Linked DNA regions of Lytechinus pictus. The protein of the gene in region 1 binds, or shares a complex with, the protein of each later gene. Links are inferred from orthologs where the notes say so. Each region holds a gene or a part of one and is shown in the gene's direction. Other genes may lie near its edges.

The links.
Region 2: cleavage and polyadenylation specificity factor subunit 3-like (region 1) and cleavage and polyadenylation specificity factor subunit 2-like share a complex: the UniProt entries of both Drosophila melanogaster proteins name them as parts of the cleavage and polyadenylation specificity factor (CPSF) complex. The link is inferred for Lytechinus pictus from reciprocal best matches to the Drosophila melanogaster genes Cpsf73 and Cpsf100.
Region 3: cleavage and polyadenylation specificity factor subunit 3-like (region 1) and cleavage and polyadenylation specificity factor subunit 4-like share a complex: the UniProt entries of both Drosophila melanogaster proteins name them as parts of the cleavage and polyadenylation specificity factor (CPSF) complex. The link is inferred for Lytechinus pictus from reciprocal best matches to the Drosophila melanogaster genes Cpsf73 and Clp.

Annotation. Positions count from the first base shown.
Region 1 is NC_087250.1:4,456,256-4,463,644, forward strand, and holds the start of cleavage and polyadenylation specificity factor subunit 3-like, read left to right. Parts: upstream 1-4,298; 5' UTR 4,299-4,384; coding exon 4,385-4,455; intron 4,456-7,389. UniProt on the Drosophila melanogaster protein: Component of the cleavage and polyadenylation specificity factor (CPSF) complex that plays a key role in pre-mRNA 3'-end formation, recognizing the AAUAAA signal sequence and interacting with poly(A) polymerase and other factors to bring about cleavage and poly(A) addition.
Region 2 is NC_087251.1:22,718,658-22,726,547, forward strand, and holds the start of cleavage and polyadenylation specificity factor subunit 2-like, read left to right. Parts: upstream 1-4,793; 5' UTR 4,794-4,834; intron 4,835-7,890. UniProt on the Drosophila melanogaster protein: Component of the cleavage and polyadenylation specificity factor (CPSF) complex that plays a key role in pre-mRNA 3'-end formation, recognizing the AAUAAA signal sequence and interacting with poly(A) polymerase and other factors to bring about cleavage and poly(A) addition.
Region 3 is NC_087254.1:5,833,466-5,841,437, reverse strand, and holds the start of cleavage and polyadenylation specificity factor subunit 4-like, read left to right. Parts: upstream 1-4,873; 5' UTR 4,874-5,005; coding exon 5,006-5,108; intron 5,109-7,972. UniProt on the Drosophila melanogaster protein: Component of the cleavage and polyadenylation specificity factor (CPSF) complex that plays a key role in pre-mRNA 3'-end formation, recognizing the AAUAAA signal sequence and interacting with poly(A) polymerase and other factors to bring about cleavage and poly(A) addition.

The DNA of each region.
Region 1 (7,389 bases):
GATAATGGAAATGAAAAATAAAACTTGAACTAGCAAGATACCCAATAACCCATCTTTCTTCTTCTATTTCTCCTCCTTCTTCTCCTTCATTTCTTTTTCTTTCTTTTTTCTTCTTCTTCTTCTGCTTCTTCTCATTTTGTCTTTCTATTCTTCTTGTTGCTAATATTAAATTCTGATTTTTTTTTCCTTTGCGCTTTCATTATGTAAATAGTATAATTTATCATTTTATTATCTTAATTCTATAGTCATGTCGAGGAACCCACTGGAAATGAGCTTTCGTGGGTTTTCCTGTGCAAGCATGTTGTTTTTAATGCTACTGTTTATATGTTGTAGTGATTTGCCAAATAAAATCAATCAATTCATGATTTAATATTAATACAGTGCGTATAAAAAAAAGGGACAGATTTGAAAATTCTATAAAATTTTTGTTTCAAATTATAATGTCTATATTTTGGTGCTCTAAGGTCTTATCTTTCAAATGCTTTTGAAAAAAATTTAGTTTCGTTCATGCTTGAGCGAACACGGAATGTTTTTGTCTGGGGTTAAAATGGAGGCTTGTGCCAAAACGGCATAGAATTATAAATATGATGATCGGACTTCTTGCTAATTAGCAGACTTCCTCTTAACCTATTCATTATCTTTGCCATAATTTTTCAAATCATGCGGTCAAAATTCATTTTCAGATCTATTTATTTGCTTGAATTGTTATGTTGTTGTTTCTTTTTAATATGCTCTCTGTTAGCTTTTAATATTCCTTCTTCAAGCTAAAACAATTTTGTTTTAACGAAGTATGGGAGAGCGTGGATTTTTTTTTCAAATCCTTTCATTGTGTGCTACAAAGGTTATGGTGCCTTTTGAACAGTGCCACAAAGATGGGCGGGGGCTTGGGATGCTCCCCAACCCCCTTAATTTAAAAAAAATCATGACCAAGAAAAAAAGTGGACAGGAAATAAAAGGAAAGATAGAAAGTAAAATATGATATTATTTTCTAAATATTATGTCAAAATCTATCACAAAATTTGATATTGTAATAAAAAAGTGGGAATATTTGCGTGCTCACTTCGCTCGCTCACAACTTTTAAATACATTTTAACCGATCTGCCACATCTAGCTCCTTCAAAATTGACTCGATACACCATTGTCATTGAAAGACATGAATCCCTTCCTGTGTTTCCTGTCAAGCAATTAAACTTGGTCAAGGAATCAATGACCCTTTGAAAAATAGATTCATGTCTTTTAAAGGTACATAACATAATTTGTTTCACAATAATAAAAGGATTTGAATAATCACAAGTTTTCCCAATTAATAATACAAATCTTTTTGCTTGGGTTGACAAAAAATCTTCTTTTCTCACTTACTTTTGAAGGAAAATTAAAAGGTAAGAGAAGTTTAAATGAAAAAAACAAATAATTCAAGTAAATAAATAAATTTGTAAATAAAATTTGACAGCATAATTCGAAAATTGTGGCACAGATAATGAAAAGATCAAGAGGAAGTCTCCTGATTAGCAAGAAGCCTGATCGTCATATTACTCGTATTCTGCAATTCTGGCGCAAGCCTCTTTTTGAACCCCCAACATAAACGTCCCGTGTTCGCTCAAGTATGAACAAAGTTAATTTTTTTTAATAGCATTTCAAAGATAAGACCTTAGAGCACCTATTTACACCAAAATATATATAGACATTATAATTTGAAACAAAATTTTAAAGACGTTTTTTTTTTACTCACTGTAGAGTGTCTCGTTTTAGGTCTAAAATCTAAATTTTCGCTCGCATCGATCGTTAAGTTACATACAATAATAATAAATAATATACAGTTCTTGCATCAATTGTTTAGTTACATACAACAATAATAATAATATACAGTTCTTGTATAGCGCATATCACATTATGAATAATGTTTTTTACGCGCTTCCAAAGGACTTATTACCCCAGCTGTAGCTTGGCAGCCGTAATTACTAAGATTACAGCGCAAACGCATTTCAAGGAATAAATTCCTGCCAGGTACCCATTCACCTCACCTGGGTTGAGTGCAGCACAATGTGGATGAATTACTTGCTGAAGGAAACTACGCCATGGCTGGGAATTGTACCCACGACCCTCTGTTTCAAAGTCCGGAGACTTATCCACTGGGCCACAACGCTTCATAACGCTCCACATATCTATACCTATTCCTTTCATGATTACAAAAAGTGCTTAGAATTTTTTTTTTTTTTCAGGTCGGAAAGTCAAAAATTGTCAACTCGCGCGCTTCGTGCTCGCATTATTTGTTGAAACATAAAAAGTTTGGTAGCAAAAGGGGTTAGGTCCACTTTAGACCATTCCGAGAAAAATCATGTTTTTTATTCTCACTTATTGCAATATTCTTGTGAGAAACTAAATTGTCATGATGTACTACCCTAGCATGTGAACGTAAAATTGGGTATAAAAGAAATCTACCTGTCTTAAATTTTTACTACATATTTTTTTTTTTTAATATCATTCTGGACCCATCCCCTTTTGCAAGCAAATTGAAATGAATCCAATCTCTTTTGAATAAAAAAAGTGTTTTTTTTTCTTTGCCACTTTTATTCACGTTTTAATGTGAATTTCAAATTTTCTTTGGTATCATCGGACAGACTAAAAATTTATAGGTTTTGAGACAGAAAACAATAAAATTTATGAAAAATGGACCTAACCCCTTTTGACAAATGAGCTCTTCAAAAGAGTTTGGTTGCAAAAGGGAATAGATCCACTTCAAGATTTTTTTTTTATTCTCCCATATTGCAATATTCTTATCCAAAACTATATTTTTATGATACCCTATACCATGTAAACATAAAATTGGGTATAAAAGAGTGTTCTCATATTTTTTTTGAATAGGCATATTCTTTTCCATGTCTTTATGGACCTAACCCTTGTGCAACCAAACTGAATTGGACCTAACCCCTTTTGATAAAGGAAAATCTTTTCTTTGGTTTCTTATAGAGCTACTAAAAATCTATACATTGAGTCGAAAAAAAAAATGATGAAAAATTGACCTATTCTTTTTGCAACTGAGCTCTTCATGGGTAACTGTAAACAGTTCTTAACAGGTCCCTTTTCGATCAGGCCAGAACGTTAATTAAACATTCATGCTCGCGCTCGGCGTTCACAGTAATTACCTAGTTGTTTAGGATAAAAAACATTGCCCCTTACATTTTCATGACAAAATGCATGAAAGTAAACAACAAATTAGGTCGCGCTTCGCGGTTGCTCTTTTATTTATGGCTAATGAGGTTATTTCACTTGTTTTATAAGAATAAAGCTAGGAATTAGTGACTATATGAGGACTATTCCTTCAAGGCTTCAAAAAACATGAACAAACAAAAATCTACTTTAAGCGGCCGATCGGGGGAAAATATGGGTAAAATAATTTTGGGCCTCGCCTCCTATGGGACGGATCCGCCCCTTTGACATAATATATACACAAAGAGAATAAAAAATTTGCCCCCAATCAAAAAGCAAGGACCATACCCAGGAAAAAAATCCTAGCTACGCCACTGTAGGGTGGTGAAATTATCTTGATAAAGCGGACCCGCATGAAAAGGGAACATTTGTAAAATTAAAATTCAAGCCTTTTTTTTCGTTTTCATTATACTTGCAGTACAGACTAAAAGAAATGGTGCTTGTACTAGACGTGGTTAAAAAACCCAACAACAACAACAACACCAAGAATAACACAAAAAAACATCTAACATGTGGGAAAATTTCGAGATACATAGGCCTATCGCAGTATAGGTTTGACGAAATAAAAGAAACGTTTCTCTTAATTAGTTTTCCCCATCATTCCTTATTACTATTTTGCATTATTAGTAATACTAGTAATGCAAAACTAATAATAAGGAAAGATGGGAAAACTAATTAGGGAACCCATAACGTACTTGTAAAATTAATTCCCCTGTAGTGGTAAAGTTTATTGAATGAAAGTCATTCGTGGCGAAAATCATATCAAATCAAGAAAAACAAAACAAACATAAAACAAGTAATTAATTAAACGAAATAAACTCGTCAAAAGGCTGTAAGAGTTTAAACACGCAAGCTCAATGAGGTTTGGGAGAATATTGTAAAACCAACACCTTTATTTTGATGAAAAGGATTGTAAATCCCTTCATGATTTAAGTTTATGAAGAGCATATTGGGACGATATAGAAGTGGGGAAGTGTTAATGGAATTGGGATTAGAATAATTTCCTGTGAGAGCCAAAAAAATACAACAACATTTTCGTCAACCTCTAGCTCACAATTCGTTGCTCTAGCTAGCTCCCTGCTCGCTGATTATAGAGGGCGACATTTTCTTAATGATCGCGCGTGTGGATTTGTTTGTGTCGTTGAAATTTTATGAAAATCGCTTATAATTTGAAGCAATGGCTGCCAAAAGAAAGCCAGATGCGCAGATCCCAGAGGAGGAAAGTGACCGTTTGATTGTTCGACCATTGTAAGTATTTTTATTTATAATTTTTTTTTCTCTTGGGCTCTATTTTTTGCCCGCTATTCCAATGTCCCACCTATTCACTTTGGCGTTAGCTAACATCACTAATAAGAGGATTTACAGAATGAAGTCCTACGAAATTTACCAAACGATGTGAAGTCAATTTCTCCTAATATGATGAATAACCCTCAAATACATAGCGTCATTTAAGCGTTGATTTTCTTCTCGTTGACAAAATACGGCCCAACCTTGCGAGTTCTCAAATTTTTTGTCTAATATTGTCTAATGACATGTCGAGCGAAAGAGGGCGCGCGATTTATCTTCATAATCATATCAAAGACACTAGGCCTACTACAAGGGAGAGACTAGACACAAAAACTATCTTACACGTAAATCGATGCAAAGCGTTACGCGAAGTCGGCAAAGTGTCCAATCTTTTTACTGTAAAGACTTTGGCACTGGCAGTAGAGGCGCACGGCCAATATTGCACTCCTAGTACCAATGAGGTCCAAACATTACATGTATGGACCTCATAGGCGACATCAGTGATAAAACCGGTTAGACATTGCCGTTTCTATTTGCACCCAAGAACTTTGGCAAATGTACGCCTTAATACATAGTGGATGGTAACAATTTAGGTATTAATTAGTTTTAAACATGATAAGGAAACTTCTACGACATTTGAAATTTAATGGATTGAGGTTAAACTTACATTTTCAGTCTTTTTTCTTGAATTCTTGGTGAGCGTTCCAAACGCTGTGGGGACTGATCAACTACGATGTGATTCACGTACTGGTCAGCTGATCGGTCAGGTGATCGGTTGGTTATCTTTTTGTCAGACGTTCATAATTTATATTACAATATATCAATCTTCAGTATCTTGATTTCAAGCATCAGTATTGCAGGGAAAAGTCATTATCGATTGGAATCAATGGCAGATCGGGGGGGGGTTGAGCATTTCTGGCCCGTTCCACCTTTTGAGATTCATAGTCAATATTTTGGCACTCATTCAATGAACAAGGTTATGATATAACCTTGTTCTCAGTTATATCTCCATGTGTGGCAAAATAAGGATGGCAATGTTTGGCTTATTTTCTCTTTTTCTTTGGGAAAAATGCTTGATTTTTTTACACTGACAGTTTCCATCACAATTATTCGTTATACGACTTGGCCCTTAAGTAAATTTGATTCTTTAAATTATTTTTTCTTAATTAAAAATAGAGATTAAAAAATGACAATTTTCTTGCCATATTATTTTCTATCAATAGAGGGCGTACACAAAAATATGCCCAAAATTCAAGTTTTTGAGCGCTCTAGTGAATACAAAAATTATTCCCAAGTTACTAATGAAAAATAAATTGCAACTGTATGGAAATTAGTAATTTTGGTCATAAAAGTGATATTTTAATCATTTTTTAAAGTGTGTGCTGTGTACAGCATTGGCATGCCATAGTCCTACCTGTAGATTCTCCACAGGCAGGATGGTTGCAGTGAACAAGTGTATTTTGGATGTAAAAAAAAAATGTCGTTCGTACAAAGTTAATTCCCCCCCCCCCCCCACCTCCTTATGAGAATCACAGCAATATTTGTAATGGGGATATTTTGTTCATATTCTTTGCTCTTTTTTGTCCTTTTCTTTTTTGCTTCCCAAATTTATTTTACTTTGAACATATGACTTTCTATATTTAATGACAAACTTTTTTAGGGGGGTGGGGGCTTGCCAAATATAACGCGCGACAAGATGACCTTCTTTTTTTAGTGACAACTTTTTTTTTATTTGTCAAATTTTACGAGAGACAAAATGACCTTCGATCATTATTAATTAAACCTTTTTTTTGGAGGGTAGGGGGCTCGCCAAATAGTGACACACTTTTTTTTGTAAAATGTTATGCAAGAAAAAATGATCTTCAATCATTATCAGCTACCTTTCATTTTTTTTAGGGGGGGGGGGGCTTGTCAAATTTTACGTGGGACAAATGACCTTCATTTTTTAGTGATTTTTTTTTTTATACTTGACAAATTTTAAGAGGAACAAAATGGCCTTCAATCATTTTTAGTTAAAACCTTTTTTTGGGAGGGGGGCTTGCCAAATATTTCACAAACAAAATGAACTTCAATTTTAGTGACCATCTTTTTATTACTTTTAAAATTTCACGCAGGACAAAATGACCTTCACTTTTTTTTAATGTTATGTTATATCGAGATTTTTTACCTGACTGCTAAAAAAGCACGAATGCCTGTGAGCAAGCAACCAGGGGACCAACGGCTTAAGGTCCTCTCCGAGGGACCTGGTAATGAGGATAAGCCTTAAGGACGTTCCACAGTTATATTTGTGCGCATTATGATCTGCGCATAGTTTACACTCTGCGCGCTGACGTCACAATGGATGAACAGGTGATTAATTAGCTGCGGGTATCAGCTGATTTTTCTCATCTTCTGCACTTTAACTGCAGATCCGATGCGTTATTTCATGAAGCTAAAAAATTGAATTATTCCATGGACCATTCAAAAAAATATTCTCTACAATTTCAAAATACTTTACTCTGCAGTGCTGCCAAGAATCACGAATATTACCCCGAGTTTGAATAAATGGTAGAGTGGTTTTGATTTTTTCTTCACATAGATACTAAGCATTCGGCCCATTTTTGGTGTTTTAAAAGGCACATTTGCTCTAATAAAAATGCTGATAGTTTAAAAACAAGCACATGAACCCCTATTTTTTAATGTTTGTACCTCTTAGGTATACCTTCCTCTACAACTCTGCAAATTTTGGTGAAAATGACATGGATTTTGAATAAAGTGCAGCATTTATTGTACGTTTGTAGTTTGTTACTGAAATTTTACATTTTTTAGATTGGGATTTTGTTATCTTTTACGCCATTTTTAAGAACTGACAGTGCTGTTAAACTTAAAATTGCAAACAAATAGCACTATTAATAG
Region 2 (7,890 bases), on another chromosome or scaffold:
CTAAAGGGGATATAACCAATGAAATGTCAAAGCTGTTTCGTCCGGGGTTCGGAGTACTATATAGTAGTCCACTATTCTGCAGGGGATTCAATTAATTGCGGGACACTAAAGGGGATATAACCAGCAAAATGCTACAAGCAGTGGTACTACTACTACTACTACTACTAGTACTGGCCGTAAAAGACTCATCACCGCCCCGAAACTTTCCGGGAGATACTGGTCAGCCGCTGGTCAGACTCGAGTCAAGGGGAAACAACTCTACTCCAGCATTCCCTCACTGCACCGCGGAGAACGATAATCGACACACAGTGGAATCGCATGAAAGATAACATTTTTTCCATATCTAGCTGTGGGTAGATTTACAAAAACATCTCGTCCTTTCAGTGCAGATTTAATTTTATCGACTTGCAAATCCTTAAATCGGTCAATATTCAGCATTTTAGAGGCATATTCAATGCTCTTTGATGTTTCGTCGTCCGCCAAGGTGTTGATTATGAATGCATTGTCGCTACATTGTACAGCGCGCGGATATCCGTTTATCCGGCCTCTTGGCCGTGTTGTTAATAAAGCACACACTCCCACTCAATACTCCGTCTGGTAAATTATCTTTTATTTTATTAATACTGGCGTGGTGGCAGCTTGTGGTCTGAACCTAAGGCCCTAAGGTGATCCTACCAACAGTCCGATAATTCTTACTCTAAACAAGGGGCCAGGCGCTCCGTTAGCCTAACGGTGATAGGTTTGAGTTCTTTTGCATTTTGAGTGTGTGTAGTCCCTTCAACGTATATTCATGTACAGTATGAATAGTTGCTCGACGATACATGTGGGCGTGTCCGCGGCTAAGGGCACCGCCTCGCGAGAGAGCGTGGCGGTTAACAGTAGAATGGAGCAGTGTTCCAATCCTTGTAACTCAGTTATATCCCCATATTTCCATGCTGTTGGCGGTTATGACTATAACTATGAAGAGAAAGAAGTAGAAGTAGAGATAAGGAGTGCGTGTGAGGTGAATTTAATCAGCGAATCAATGGCAGAGACATTGGGATTGGAGATAGTGATTGATGAGATGATGATTGAAGAAGATTACATTGAAATAATACCTAAATATGTAAACAAGAATGGTATCATTGGCCTGACTTATTTCTCACTCTTCTGTAATGGCCTAGAATTACAATTTGATGGTTTGGTTGTTGAGGATGATGCCATGACAAATACTGGAATTATTGCTGGTGCCCCATTTATGGAGGCAAATGACATCTCCGTTAGACCAGCTAGGCATCTGATCACATTCAGTGATGATTCTGTTTTCATCTATCATAGTAAACCAAGTGGTGTCATGAGTGACAAATCTTTAGTATGCAAGAATACTCGTGTAGATCTAGATCAGTCTACTCATGATGATGTTGATCCTATGCATGTGGTGTCTAGGCCAGACCCCATTGCTATAGTCCCAGGGAATTGTGAACAAGATCTTGGTGTCTACTCAGATGAGAGTCGGCTGAATCTGAGTGTTGTGTCTAAGGATGTCCAGTCCTCCGAGTCTGAATGTTCCGCCAATTGTGTAGAGTCAAGTGGGGTTAGTCAAAACCGACCGAACAGGAATCTCAGTGAAGTTGTTCACATTACTCCTCTAGTGAATGATGTTGTTGTGCATAGGCCTACTTCTGATATTGTGCCTGATACATCCGACAAGTTTCGTATGCCTGTCTCGAAGGCTCATTCTCATCTGTCAGGTTCTGGTTTGACCTACGAAGAAGTGCAGTTGCCTGAGCTCGATGATTTGCACTCGCCCGTTTCGGCCTGCTTGTTGCACAAGCCCGATTCTATCGTTTCGCTGCTCATGTCCGATTCTCACGTTTCGCTGCGCTTGCCCGATTCGTTAGATGATAAGTCATGCTTGCCTCATTCGATCGTTTCGCCGTGCTTGCATGATCCAGCAGCTGATCAGTCAAACTTAACCGATTCGGATCCACTCAACAAACAGCGCTCGTTCGTTTCGCTCGGTGACGATTTCGTGGTTGAGTTGGAGTCGAACATCTTGACATCTCCACACTCACCTGGTCATTCACACACGACACCCCACAAACATGACACATCACAATCCTCGTACAATGATCCTTATATCGGTACACGATACTTCCAGTCACATGACCAACCACACACTGATAGCCTAAGAAATCTTCCTCCGGCCATTGTTCGTACCATAGAGATGACTGATAACCACCCTTGTCGCTACCCACCAGATTCTGCAGAAGTCATCCCTATGAAAGTAACCGGCGATACAGTCCTTGACTCAGAGTTGCCAAATCATGTCACCTTTGATTCCACCCCAAAGAAGGTAGCCTGTTGCGCCGATGGACACGACTCTCCGTCACTAGCCCATGGTGCCCGTGACCGTGGTCCTTCAGTAGAGCAAAGAGCACTTGATCACCGTCCTCCATCTTTAGCCTGTGGTACCCATAATGACAATTCTTCATCAGTGACAGTAGCCCATGTTGCCCATGATCACAGCTCACCAGAGACAGTCACCCGTGGTGCCCATGGTCACAGTTCTTCAGTGACAGTAGCCCGTGATGCCTATGATCACGGTTCCTCAGAGACAGCCCTTGGTGCCCATGATCACGGTTCCTCAGAGACAGTAGGCCGTGGTGCCCATGATCACGGTTCCTCGGAGACAGTGGCCCGTGGTGTCCATGATCACGGTTCACCTACCTCGAGAGCCCATGGTTCCCTTGACACTGACCTTCAGATGACAGCCAGCCCTACTGACCATCCTCAACTGACGGCCTGCAGTTTCACTGACCCTCCAGGGCCCCAAGCTGATGACGGCATACTTATGTTACCGGCCCCTACTCCATTTGCCATTCCTCAGCTGAGTAGTCCCACACCCATCTCTCCTGACATCCCTGAATGTTTTAGTAAGGTGCCTCTGCCCCTGTCTCACAAAGACAGTAGCCCGCCCATAATTCCTAATCTTTCCCAACCCACAGGTTCCAGTCCACATACGGCATCCTATATCTTTCAGTCAGGTATCACCCCCGATATCCCAGCAGCGGTTGATGACTACCCGAGCCAGCCTTGCCTGTTTACCACAGCCCATGACCACCCTCCAGAATTTTCCCCTCTCGTACGAAAAGCCCTGGACTTTCATTCCCCTGCCCCATTGCTAGTCGTCCCTTTAGACCCCCCATCTACCCCATATCATATGATTTGTGCTTATTAGGACTGGACCTTACATGTTGTATGTGTTGACTTTTTGCATGTACATTTTTTAGGTTGTACTCCATTAAACTGCTGTTTATCCTGATGTTGTGTATTTTTTTTTTTTCGTCAATCTGGCTTAATTGTTTTTTATTATATTTAATGTACTTTCTCATTTTCCCCCCTTTTTTAACGTGTATTTAGACACTGTAATTAGAGTTAACTGTTGATTTATGTTTTGGATAATCGCTGAGTTTAGGATGTGACTTTTTCATTGATTGTTGATGTGTGAGTTAGTGTATTTGATATTTGCTCACTTGTTTATTACATTGGAGGTAGACAATGTGCTGAGTATTACTTGACTGGAGTGACTGACATGGTTGTTTCATGAATGAGGGTAAGGTGTAAGGATGTACCATGATGCAGGTTGTTATGTGTTCCTATGAAGTGAAGGTGGGATGAAGAGATAGAGTGAAGAGGTAGAGTGTAAGGTGCAAGAATGTACCATGATGCAGGTTGTTATGTTTCCTACCAATATGAAGTGAAGTTGGGATAAAGAGATAGAGTGAAGAGGTAGATTGTAAATGACAGCTGATGCTAAATGAGAGGTAGCAGAACTCATGTTTGATTTAATGTATTGTTTGTACTGTTTACACCAGCATACAGTTTAATTATGGAGTAGTGTTTTGATAGTTTATTGACAAGCAATCATTGGTACAAATATAATCCTCATGTTTTGGTTTGCTATTTTGCCTCACATTAATGTTTAGATTTGTTTATTGATGCATATCATATCATCATACCTGTCATGTATCTGTTATTGTTGTTTTATTATCAATCTGGTATAGGCATTTTGAATAAATTGTATCCTCCTTTGATGGTGGGATATTGTTTGTATTTGACTTTAACAGTGCATTTATGTATATATGTTATGTCAATTGATAGGCAGGATTTATTATGTATGCAGGCAATTTTATTATTTGAAAGTTTCTTGCTCTTTATGGATAAGAATTTGATTGGAGTTTAGTATGGCTTCATTTATCTTTTTAGAGTGTCATTGTATTTTATTGCTGTGTTTTATTATTTTAGCAGACTTGCCTCATTCACCATTTTTGAATGGATATTAAGGAGATTAAGATAAAATGTCAAATGATGTATATGTGTCTTTTAAAGCTGCTTAATAATGAGGATTTGTAATGTGTATTTTTGGATGATTGCTGAAGTTTAATGGGATCTTTTTATATGCAAGTTATATGCAAGTAGTAATGATTTGTATGTTGAAAGACATTTGACTGGTTTTTAGTTTGTAGATGATTTAAAGTGTTGAAAGGCAATTTAATATTTTATGCTGTAAAGAGGAAGTAAAACAAAATGAGATCTGCTTAACAATCTTAGATATGTTAGTTGGTGATACATAGAATTGTGTTATGTTAGATTTAGTAGAGTTGTTCTTGTTACTATTGGTTGGATAGTTTAGATAATGAGGGAGAAGAAAATATGAAGGAAAAATGAGTCACGCCAAGGTGTTGATTATGAATGCATTGTCGCTACATTGTACAGCGCGCGGATATCCGTTTATCCGGCCTCTTGGCCGTGTTGTTAATAAAGCACACACTCCCACTCAATACTCCGTCTGGTAAATTATCTTTTATTTTATTAATACTGGCGGTCACTCTTCGCCAAGAATCCACGGGTCGCCATTCAAGATGAGCTCATGAATATTCAATATGACGTCATAGCAGCCCGCGCTCTCATTGGATGATTTTCACCGACCAGTTTTTGGTCGGTATATTCATGTATTGGTAAAAACAATAAAATAAGAAAAGAAAGTCGGTGAAATTCGGGTCAGATGTCAAGAGGCCCTGTTTCGCGGCGCTCTGCTTCGCTCTCTCCCTTGCTTCGCAATGTTCGCTCGGAATGTTCACACTGTTCGCCGACAGGGCCTCGACAAGAGGCTACCAAAATTGTGGCTCATTGTAGCGGCCGGAACAGTGTAACGGACCCGGGGGGGGGGGGGGCACTTCCATCCACGAGTGGATACCATGCGCGACCATGAGATCTCAAAAAGCACCCTAATGAACACGTTTATTTTCTATATTCTGAAAATGCACCCCTTAACAAGTATTGACGTGTGAAACCCTACCCTTAACAAATATTGGAAACAAAACGATGCTATTGGCAAGTATTCCCTGAATTGAACCCCTAAACAAGTACAGCGATATTTCAATGTTATGTCACGGACGTCGGTCGTCGGTTTTACCTTTACCTACATCATTGCTATGGGTTTAGTACAGCCAAACTCGCGCAAATCGTACTCCTGGGGCAAAAAGTACATCCTTTATATGACATTTTAGTCTTGATTTTTTATACCCTCGCGAATTTGACCCTAAACGCGTAGTTTTCCTAGCAAAATAGATACCCTTTTTCACTATTTTAGTGTTTTTGACACCCTTATTACGTTACGTACGTAACGCGCCCTATCTTGAAACCCTGAAAAAGACATCCTTTTACGTGTTTTTTTGGTCGCGCCCGGGGGGGGGGGGGACACATCCATTGACGAGTGGATACCATGCGCGACCATGGGGTCTCGAAAAGCACCCTAAGCACGTATTTTCCATATTCTGAAAATGCACCCCTCAACAAGTATTGGCGTGTGAAACCCTACCCTTAACAAGTATTGGAAACAAAACGATACTATAGGGAAGTCTTCCCTGAATTGAACCCCTAAACAAGTACAACGATATTTCAATTGTTATGTCACGGACGTCGTTCGTCGGTTTTACCTTTACCTATCATTGGTTAAAGGGATGGTCCGGGCTGAAAGTATGTATAGCTCAGTAAATAGAGCAGAATTCACTGAGCAAAATGCCGAAAATTTCATCAAAATCGGATAACAAATAAAGTTATTGAATTTTAAAGTTTAGCAATATTTTGTGGAAACAGTCGTCATGAATATTCATGAGGTGGGCTGATGATGTCACATCTCCACTTGTTCTTTTGTATTTTGTTATATGAAATTAGGTTTATTCAATTTTTTTCCTCCAAGAACTAAAATAATTGGATTGAAAACTGATTTAGTGCATTAGATATTTATTGCTGCAACTTATTTCATTATAAGGGAGACATATTATTCACACAAGTATGAAATAATGAAAAAATTATGATTTTATGTAATAACATAAGAAAACGGAAAGTGGAGATGTGACATCATCAGCCCACCTAATGAATATTCATGACGACCGTTTTCACAAAATATTGCTAAACTTTAAACTTCAATAACTTCATCATTTGTTATCCGATTTTGATGAAATTTTCGGCATTTTGCTCAGTGAATTCTGCTCTATGTATTAAAATATGAATATTTTCAGCCCGGACCATCCCTTTAAGTACAGCCCCACCTCCCATGCACACCTCGCGAAAATCATACTCTAAACACGTAGTGTTGACTCTTGGGGAAAAAGGTACATCCTTTATTAAACATTTTAGTCTTAATTTTTTATACCCTCACAAATATACACGTAGCGATCCTAGCAAAAATAGGCCTTTTTTCATTATTTTAGTGTTTTTGACATCCTTATTACGTTACGTAAGTAACGTGCCCTATCTTGAAAAATACATCCTTTTTACGTGTTTTTTTGGTCGCGCATGGTATCCACTCGTCAATGTAAATGGGTCGCGCTTGGTATCCGTCAATGTAAGTGCCCCCCCCCCCCGGGGGGGGTAACGGAAAATGTGCGAAGCTTTGGAGCGGATTTCTTTTTTTTTTCTCGATAAGAAGAAAATGCTATGCTTTGGAGCGGCTTTCTTTGTTCTTTTTCTCAATAAGACAAAAATGCTATGCCTTGGAATGGAAATTGGAGTGTAAAAATGGAGGTTCCCTCCGCGGCACATACCCACTATGCATTATATACTGAGTTCCCCCCCCCCCCAGGGATTGGTCCAATTGCCATTCGTCCATATCCATATATTTGACTCAGTGTTAATTCATTGGGCAAAGTGAATGAAAATGAAACAGGTATAAGAACAACTGGTTATGAGACGAAATGTTCATAGACGAACTGGTGATTAGATGAATGATTGGATCGAAATGGCTATTGGACCAAAATGGTTATTATACGAAATGTTGATGGACGGAATGGCATTGAATATATAAAGTGAAACATGAACATAATACATGTTGATAAATTAAAATTGAATTGAATCATTCATTTCTATTTCATTTTATTGTCCACATGGAAATGAGTTTTGCTCACATTATAAACATTTTTAACAAAGTATTATAGGCCTATATACACTAGCGTACCTAGCGTACCTCCCCCAGGGCCTACGACCCGACCTGCATGCCTACACATACAAGCCACTGCTTTGGCCACCTCCTCCTCCTCATTGTAATGATACGAGATTATGTTGTGCTAACTGCATCATAGTAAACAGTGGCGTACCTTGGGTCACGGCATGGGGGGCACCAGCAAACATTTTTAGTCACTTAGTGAGCGCGCGAAGCGCGCTCAGTTGCCAGGTATACTGACCTAATACATGTTATAGAGACATTTTAAGGACAGTGGCGTTAAACGGATATCTCACTGATCAAATAATGCGAGTGCGAAGCGCGAGCTGAAAATTTAGGAAATTCAGACCTGAAGAGGAGCATTGTTTGTAAGAATTCACGAAGACCATATACGAATTTTACTA
Region 3 (7,972 bases), on another chromosome or scaffold:
CATGTATGGCAAGTTCCCCAAGTTTGCGCACACGCATATCTGCGCAATTCTGGTAAAAGATACACAACGAACACAAACTTTTGCACATGCAATAGTAATACACAGACAGATATTCATTAAAAAATCTGACCCAAAATGGTGGAAAAATAATGAATTTTGGGCATTTCATGTGACGGCCTCAAAATCCAGCCTTTCTCATCAAAATACCCGAATCGTGTGCAAAGTGAATGAGTGTGCAGACATGGGGTACCATTCTTTTTTTTCAATCTGAAAATGACTGCCCTAGCCCGGCAAGGTTTTTTCCCCCAAGAAAATCCTATATTTCTTTCAAATTTTCATGAGATATTTGGTACACTTAATCATAATAATATAAGGAACATTATTCACTCAAAGATTTTTTGAAATAAAAAGAAATTCATGTTAAATCTTAACTCAAATCGTTAGGTGCGCAGACTAATCTAGTTAATAACAACACATCATTAACACCAAATACACCTAACACGGAAATGACTTGGTGGGACAGCGTAAAGTCAAAGAGAAGAAATGTTACTGCGTTATATCTGCAGCTTACATTCGTCCTTTTGACTTCAAGTAATGAGATTTTCTCAGACATCATAACAAGAACATATTTTGAATATATATTACATTTAATAGATCTTTAAATTCTTACCCAGTCCCAGTAAGTTTTATTTGAGAGTAGAACCACACCCCTTTTTCAGCTCGATCGTTGCACTCGCAGTTTTTCCCGAAAACGAAATTGCGTACCGGTACCGGTAATATATTAATCTAAAAATAACTTTATTGAAGTGATTGAATTGCAGAAAAGGGATCATTGGCGGCGGAAGCCAAAAAAATTTGGGGGGTCCAACTTAAATTTTGGGATGGACACAGGTAAAAAAAATTGACAAGCAAAAAAAAAAAAAAACCGGTTATCAACCAAAATTTTAGGGGGGTCCACCTGAATTTAGGGGGCGCAGAAAACAAAATTGACAAGCAAATTAAAAAAAAAAAAAGTTATCAACAAAAAATTTACTCTATAGCCTATACAGATGAGTACAATTATTTTTCACCTTTTTCGTGAATTATGGATTATGGATGAATAACCGAGGTTACTCCCCCTTCACCCATTACAATGCCACGTCCTCCCCATTACTGCTATGAATCAGCACCGTGAATGGTGCTGATTCATAGGCCCCGGCCTCAAATTTAGGGGGGGCAGGACCCCCCCCCCCCCGCTTCCGCCGCCTATGAAAGGGATGCAATTAAGAAAGAAGCAAAAGATTGTAAACGGAGTGAATGGGGGTTAAAGGGGAATTTCACCCTAACAAAATGTTTGATAGCAGAAGAAAAAAATATTATATAGGCCTGAATTAGGTTTGAGAAAAACCCTTAAAACTTCAAAGATTAAAAAAGTTATTGGATTTATAATTTTTTTTTATTTGTGAGAAATTGTAAAGTCATATACGAGCAGCTGCCCCATACGTTATCTAATATAAAATGCATGAATGTCAATGTTTAAATAGTTCATGATGACTTACTATAATTGTTTTCACTAGCGGGTTTGAAATGACTTGTCTGTTGATTTTCGTACTGAAGATGAAAAAAAAACATCCATTTTCAATCATGATATTTGAGAAAAGTAAATTTCTTGGTTATTGTTAAATTCATGACATGGCAAGCAGCTGCTCGCCGTCACACACACACAAAATTTTTTTTGATAACTTTTTAAAATCTCTGATGGATTTTCCTCAACCTTCCCAATATTTTCATTTTTAACTGCTGTTTTTGTCAGCTAGGGTGAACTGTAAACAGGGGAAAGTGCTCGGTGGGGATGGATTTCTCCTATATTTTTGTCCCAAATGAATGGAAGATGAATAGATGACGGCATGGATCCAGGGAACCTCATGCCCGGGTCCTGAGCGGCAGCCTGAGAAAACTTAGAGATTTTGGAGGGGGAAGGAAAATAAAAGAAATAATTCCATTAGAATTATTCCTTGTTAAGAGAAAATGAATACTATAGGGAACAAAGAGACCGTGCAGAATCGGTCCTGCATTCCCTCCACCATGGAACCCCCCCCCTCAACTGAAAAAAAACCACCGAGGGGATCGAGGGGGAGGGGGTAAATTCAAAATACTGCCGATAAGGAGTCCGGGGGAGAATATAAGCGATATATAGAGAGCAAAAAGTAGAAGAATATGGAAGCAGAAGTACTAGGGTAAAGGGAATAAAGACAGAAAGAAAGAAGAAATGAAATTGGCCAAAAATAGATATATAGGAGCATGTAGAAATTGTGAATCTAAAAGCAACAGTTTAATTTTGTGATAGATTTTGGCTCTTTGAATATCTCGTTTCACCCGTTTTCCTCAGATTACCCTTTCTTTGATTAGTCCTGGAACTATGGAGAGTCGCATGTATCATGGACCCTATTCCATCCCGGGGGGGGGGGCGGGGGTCATGCATATATGCGTGTATTCTAAGTCCCCCATCTAATCAAAATTACAGAGGTAATGGGAAAGGTGATGACAGAGGTAAAAATGTCAGAGGAAAAAAATGGCAGACGTATGATATAGCAGAGGTGAAAATGACAGAGGTAAAGATGACAAAGGAAAAATGGCAGAGATGAAATTAAGAAATGAGAGAGGTAATATGACAGAGGTGTAAATGGGGGAAAATAACATGAGGCAAAAATGGTAGACATAAAAAATGGCAAAGGCAAAGACGTATGGCATTGCTTTAAAGGACAAGTCCACCCCCAACAAAAAGTTTATTTGAATTAAAAGAGAAAAATCCAACAAGCATAACACTGAAAATTTCATTAAAATCGGATGTAAAATAAGAAAGGTATGACATTTTAAAGTTTCGCTTAATTAAAAAATATAGTTATATTCACATCTTGGTCGGTGTTCAAATGAGGAGACGGATGACGTCATCAACTCACTATTTCTTTTGTATTTTATTATATGAAATATGAAATATTTTAATTTTCTTCTCGTTGTTAAGTGAAACGACGATTAATTCCTCCTTGAACATGTGGAATTAGCATTGCTCAATAATATATGGTTCAGTCAAATTGGCCCTTATTGTCAAACCTGTAAAAAAATGAAATAATGTATAATTCAAACAATAAAAAAAAGAAATAGTGAGTGGGGGACATCATCGACTCTCTCATTTGCATATCACTGAGTAGTGCATATAATTGTTTTGCGAAAAATAAGCGAAATTTTAAAATGTCATAACTTTCTTAATTTACATCCGATTTTGATGTGCTTGATTGATTTATTCAACTAAACATTTTTCTGAGGTGGACTTATTCCTCCTTGAACATGTGGAATTAGCATTTTTCAATAATATATGGTTCAGTCAAGTTGGCCCTAATTGTCAAACCTGTAAAAAATGAAATAATGTATAATTCAAACAATAAAAAACAAAAGAAATAGTGAGTGGGGGACATCATCGACTCTCTCATTTGCATATCACTGAGTAGTGCATATAATTGTTTTGCGAAAAATAAGCGAAATTTTAAAATGTCATAACTTTCTTAATTTACATACGATTTTGATGAAATTTTCAGTGTTGTGCTTGATTGATTTTTTTCTATTTATTCAACTAAACATTTTTCTGAGATGGACTTGACCTTTAAGCACGGTGCAGGGAAATCACTGGCCCGGATCATTGGCTTTCTATATTCGAGCTGCCTTTTGTCGTCTAAATGTGTATATTATATTGCAAAGGGGCGTTTAGCGTTTAGCGAGAATTTTTTTTCGAATTTTAATTAGTAGTTTTCATTTTAGAGCACTTTATTGGATATACTGCCGGGGATACTGCATTATCGTAATTATTATCATTGGATTTGGCATAACCAATAGACATAATAAGAGCTCACAGCTTGCAAAAGGGGTTAGGTCCATTTTTCATCAAATTTAATTTTGTATGTCTCAATGTATAGATTTTAGGAGCTCTATAAGATGATACTAAAGAAAAGTTGAAATTCCCATTAAAAAGTGAACTAAAATGGCAAAGAAAAATCACCTTTTTTTTCAAAAGGGGTACCATTTCAGTTCGTACGTTGCAAAAGGGGTTAGGTCCACATAGAATTTTTTTGGAAAAGAATATTTAAAAAAATATGAAGACATGTAGATTTCTTTTATACCCATGCAATGTTATGTTCTGCATGGTAGGATATCATGAAAATTTAGTTTCGCATAGGAATATTGCAATATTTGAAGAAAAAAAAAAGATTTTCTTGGAGAAGTTGGAGTGGACCTGCAACCAAACTCTTCTGAAGAGCTCATTTGTCAAAAGGGGTTGGGTCAATTTTTCATAAACTTTATTGTTTTCTGTCTCTTAACCTCTAAATTTTTAGTCGCTCTGATGATACCAAAGAAAATTTGAAATTCAAATGAAAACGTGAATAAAAGTGGCAAAGAAAAATCACCTTTTTAATCAATAGAGATTGGATTCAATTCAGTTTTGCAAAAGGGGTTAGTTCTACGATGATATTTAACAAATATATATATAGAAAAATTTGAAGACGGGTAGATTTCTTTTATACCCAATTTTATGTTCACATGATTGGGTAGTAGTTTTCATGACAATTTCGTTTCTCATACCAATAAGTGAGAATAAAAAACATTTTTTCTGGGAATGGTGAACCTCTTTTGCAACCAAACTCTTCATAAATTATATAAGGAACCAACATGAGGTTTTTTTTTCTTTTTGGTCTGATATTTCTTCCTTTTTTTGGTAGGATGGGGGATCGTACCCTGTATCTGGGCCATTTATAGTTGGGACGGACCATGGAGCTGTGTTGATAGCTCCAGATATGGACGGACGATGTCGACTCGACAGGGGCGACTCGATCTTCATATCATCGAGATGATCTGAGACGACTTTCTTTGCCTTTGATGGTTATTCTTGAGCGTTGGTAGTCAATGAAATTTGGACTGAATTTCCCTTGATATTAGCTCGGATTTGGACTAGAAGTTGTTTATTTTATCTACAATCATGCAGACTATTGTAGCTAACGTCGAAAATGTAAACTTTGAGGTGGAGGTGCAGATTAACATGCAGCTAGGGACGTTACCGCTTCCCTTTTCAGGCATGGATAGTAAGTTAGATTTTTTTAAATCTTGGTCCCACTCATGTATAACGATGTAGGATGGGGTTGGGTGTCCGGACATGTAACAAAAATGAAGCCTTCTTTTTTGTCTTTGGATTAAACAAAAACTGTGCATTGATTAGTGCTAATCATCATCAATATTTGTTCTCGATAATATTGTCTAACATTTTGTGCGAAAACATTTAAGAGATTTGAATTGTGAACTTTTATTGTCTTTTTCAATTGGCTGTTTAAAATCGACTGCTGTCCGGATACACAACCTGTCCGGACACCCAAGGCCAAGGGTATACCATGTCTTTTTTTTTTGTAGACTATTCTACGAGTAGATCTTTACGAGCTACGACGACAAAGTGTTGATTCTTTATATGAAGGACTTGGTGATAATTTTGGTATCTTAAAGCTGGTAGCCGTCTGTTTCGAGGAGTTTTTAAATAACAAATAACATTTTTAATTATTTTTTTATTTCTCGTACACAGAATGCAGACGGCTCACGATTGTGCAGCTGCCATTAGGAGGTTAACAATATAAAATCCCCCTGATGGGCCTCATCGATTTTTTTCTTTATTTCTTAAAAATATATTAAAAGAACTGGACCGACAGTGACCAAAAATAAAGATTAGGCCAAGTAAAAAAAGATAGTAGTTGATCGTCCGGGTTTTTTGAGAGCGGTGATGAGGGAGGTCCTTGCTATTTGCTATCTTACTATTTTTTTTAAAAACAAGGAGGCATTTTCTCGGCCCGATTTTTGACATCAGTAATGAGGGAGGTCCTTACTATTTACTATTTTTTTTGCTATTTTTATTTAAATGATTGTCGGGCCATGTCAAGCTCGAATTATGTGATCCATGTATGCTCAATATTAATAATAAATGAGTAGAAATATATATATATATTTTATATGTATAAATATCTTCTTCTTCTTCTTCTGGAAACAGTACAGTCCACCGTCTGGTGTATTGTCGTACTGGTGATATCAACGATTGATTGGAAATCTATGGAAAATGTATTGTGCGATAAAATATATTGATGTATTACTGATGTATACTGGTACTGTATTGTTGTAAAACAGAATGTTCATGTCAAGTGAATAATTTAAACATTTTATATTAATATATATGTAAGGGTAACTGCATGGGGGGTCATTTTTATTACCATCGGGAGTCATGTTCAGTTTTCCAGAGCCAATCTCTTTTTGTCTGGGACTGGGCATGGTTTCGCATCGCAGTTTTCAGCTGCTTGTTCGTTTACATAATGTTTAATACTGTTCAATTTTCATTCATTTTTAAAATTGATATTGAATATTAAATCTCTCATTGAATATTCGATGCATTGCCTGCTAACATTAGAAAACTCGCCAGAAAATTCAATGCATTTCACAAATTCACATGTCACGCCAGCACAGTCAATCAATCCTAGCACACATGCAGTTCACCCAACAGAGTCACAAGCACACTATACAATCACCGTAACACACATCTAAGTACAGGCGCTATCACTCATAAAAAAACCCCGCTGAAATACAAATTACGTCATTAAAATTGATTTATCTGTGCCATATTTCCAAAGCACGCGACGGATTAAGTCAGATTCAGTAAGCGGGGTCCCCGAAAATGCACTAAAAATGAAGAAATCCGTGATCTTATCCGAGTTTGCAATCTTTATTTCCTTGCTAATTTATGATGGTATCTTCAAAATTCCAATAAAAAACCAAATCAGAATTTTTTTCTTTCTTGCAATTACGGCGATATCGGATTTTGCAATTGTTTTTGAAGTTGCGAGAGAGTTCCCAGAGTAATCTTGTGAATTTTGTTCACTATTCAACAGCCATAAAAATAGTTAATATCAAGAAAATTGATGCTGCAATCAAAAAGGGGAGAGGGCGCGGACGAGAAACAACACAATTTTTTTAATTTTTTAAAAATAGAAAATAGTAAATAGCAAAAAATTTCATGCGGCGGCCAAAATTGATGCGCGCGAGGACGATCAACTACTTTCTTATTTTGCTTGGCCTTATATATCATTATTATTCACCAAATGCACCAAATGCACCAAATGCACCAAAACGGGAAAAAATAAACTTAAATTTTCAAAGAAAAAAAAACAGTGACTTACTTTGGCTGTCATGCAACTCCCACTTCCCTGGTTTATCCGAACTTAATTATGGCCATTGAGTCTAGCCTTGAGGACTCCATGATGATATTTTTTAATATTTTGCCATATACTTCATCATGGAGCCTTGAAACTCTTTCCATAGATGCATGAGCGAGACCTCCACACCCAGATGAATTTCCCTATGAAATCCATATTTACAGGGAGAAATCGGTTTATAAAAGTGTGAATTTTATTGATCTTTGAACCTTCAAACGCCAAATGCGTATGAAGGGATAAAAAATATTTCACTATGAATGGCAAAAATTCGAGGTTTCTTACCAGACTGATCTCGTGTAGATCCCTCGATTTGTTTGTCAACAAAGCAAATGCAATAGGTCTGACCCTTGAACCGCTTCGTTATGATGTACTTTCGATAAGCGATGTTACAAAATGCTGTTTTGAAGAACAATTTATAGATAAAAATTATTATTTAACAAATACTAGAATTTAATACATGATTATGAATAATTATGATTATAATAATGATTTATAATCATGTATTAATCTTGTCCGTATCCAAATTCAACTCACTGTAAAATTGTCTGCCCTTGTTTAATTAAAGTGAGATTGATACCTTGCCATGGAAGAAAAAGATGATTTTTGAATATTAATAAAGTATCAATATGAATTATGATTTATTTTCTGAGTAGATTTAAATAAAATACAATTTGATTTTTCATCTGTAGTTTCCTTATCTTCTG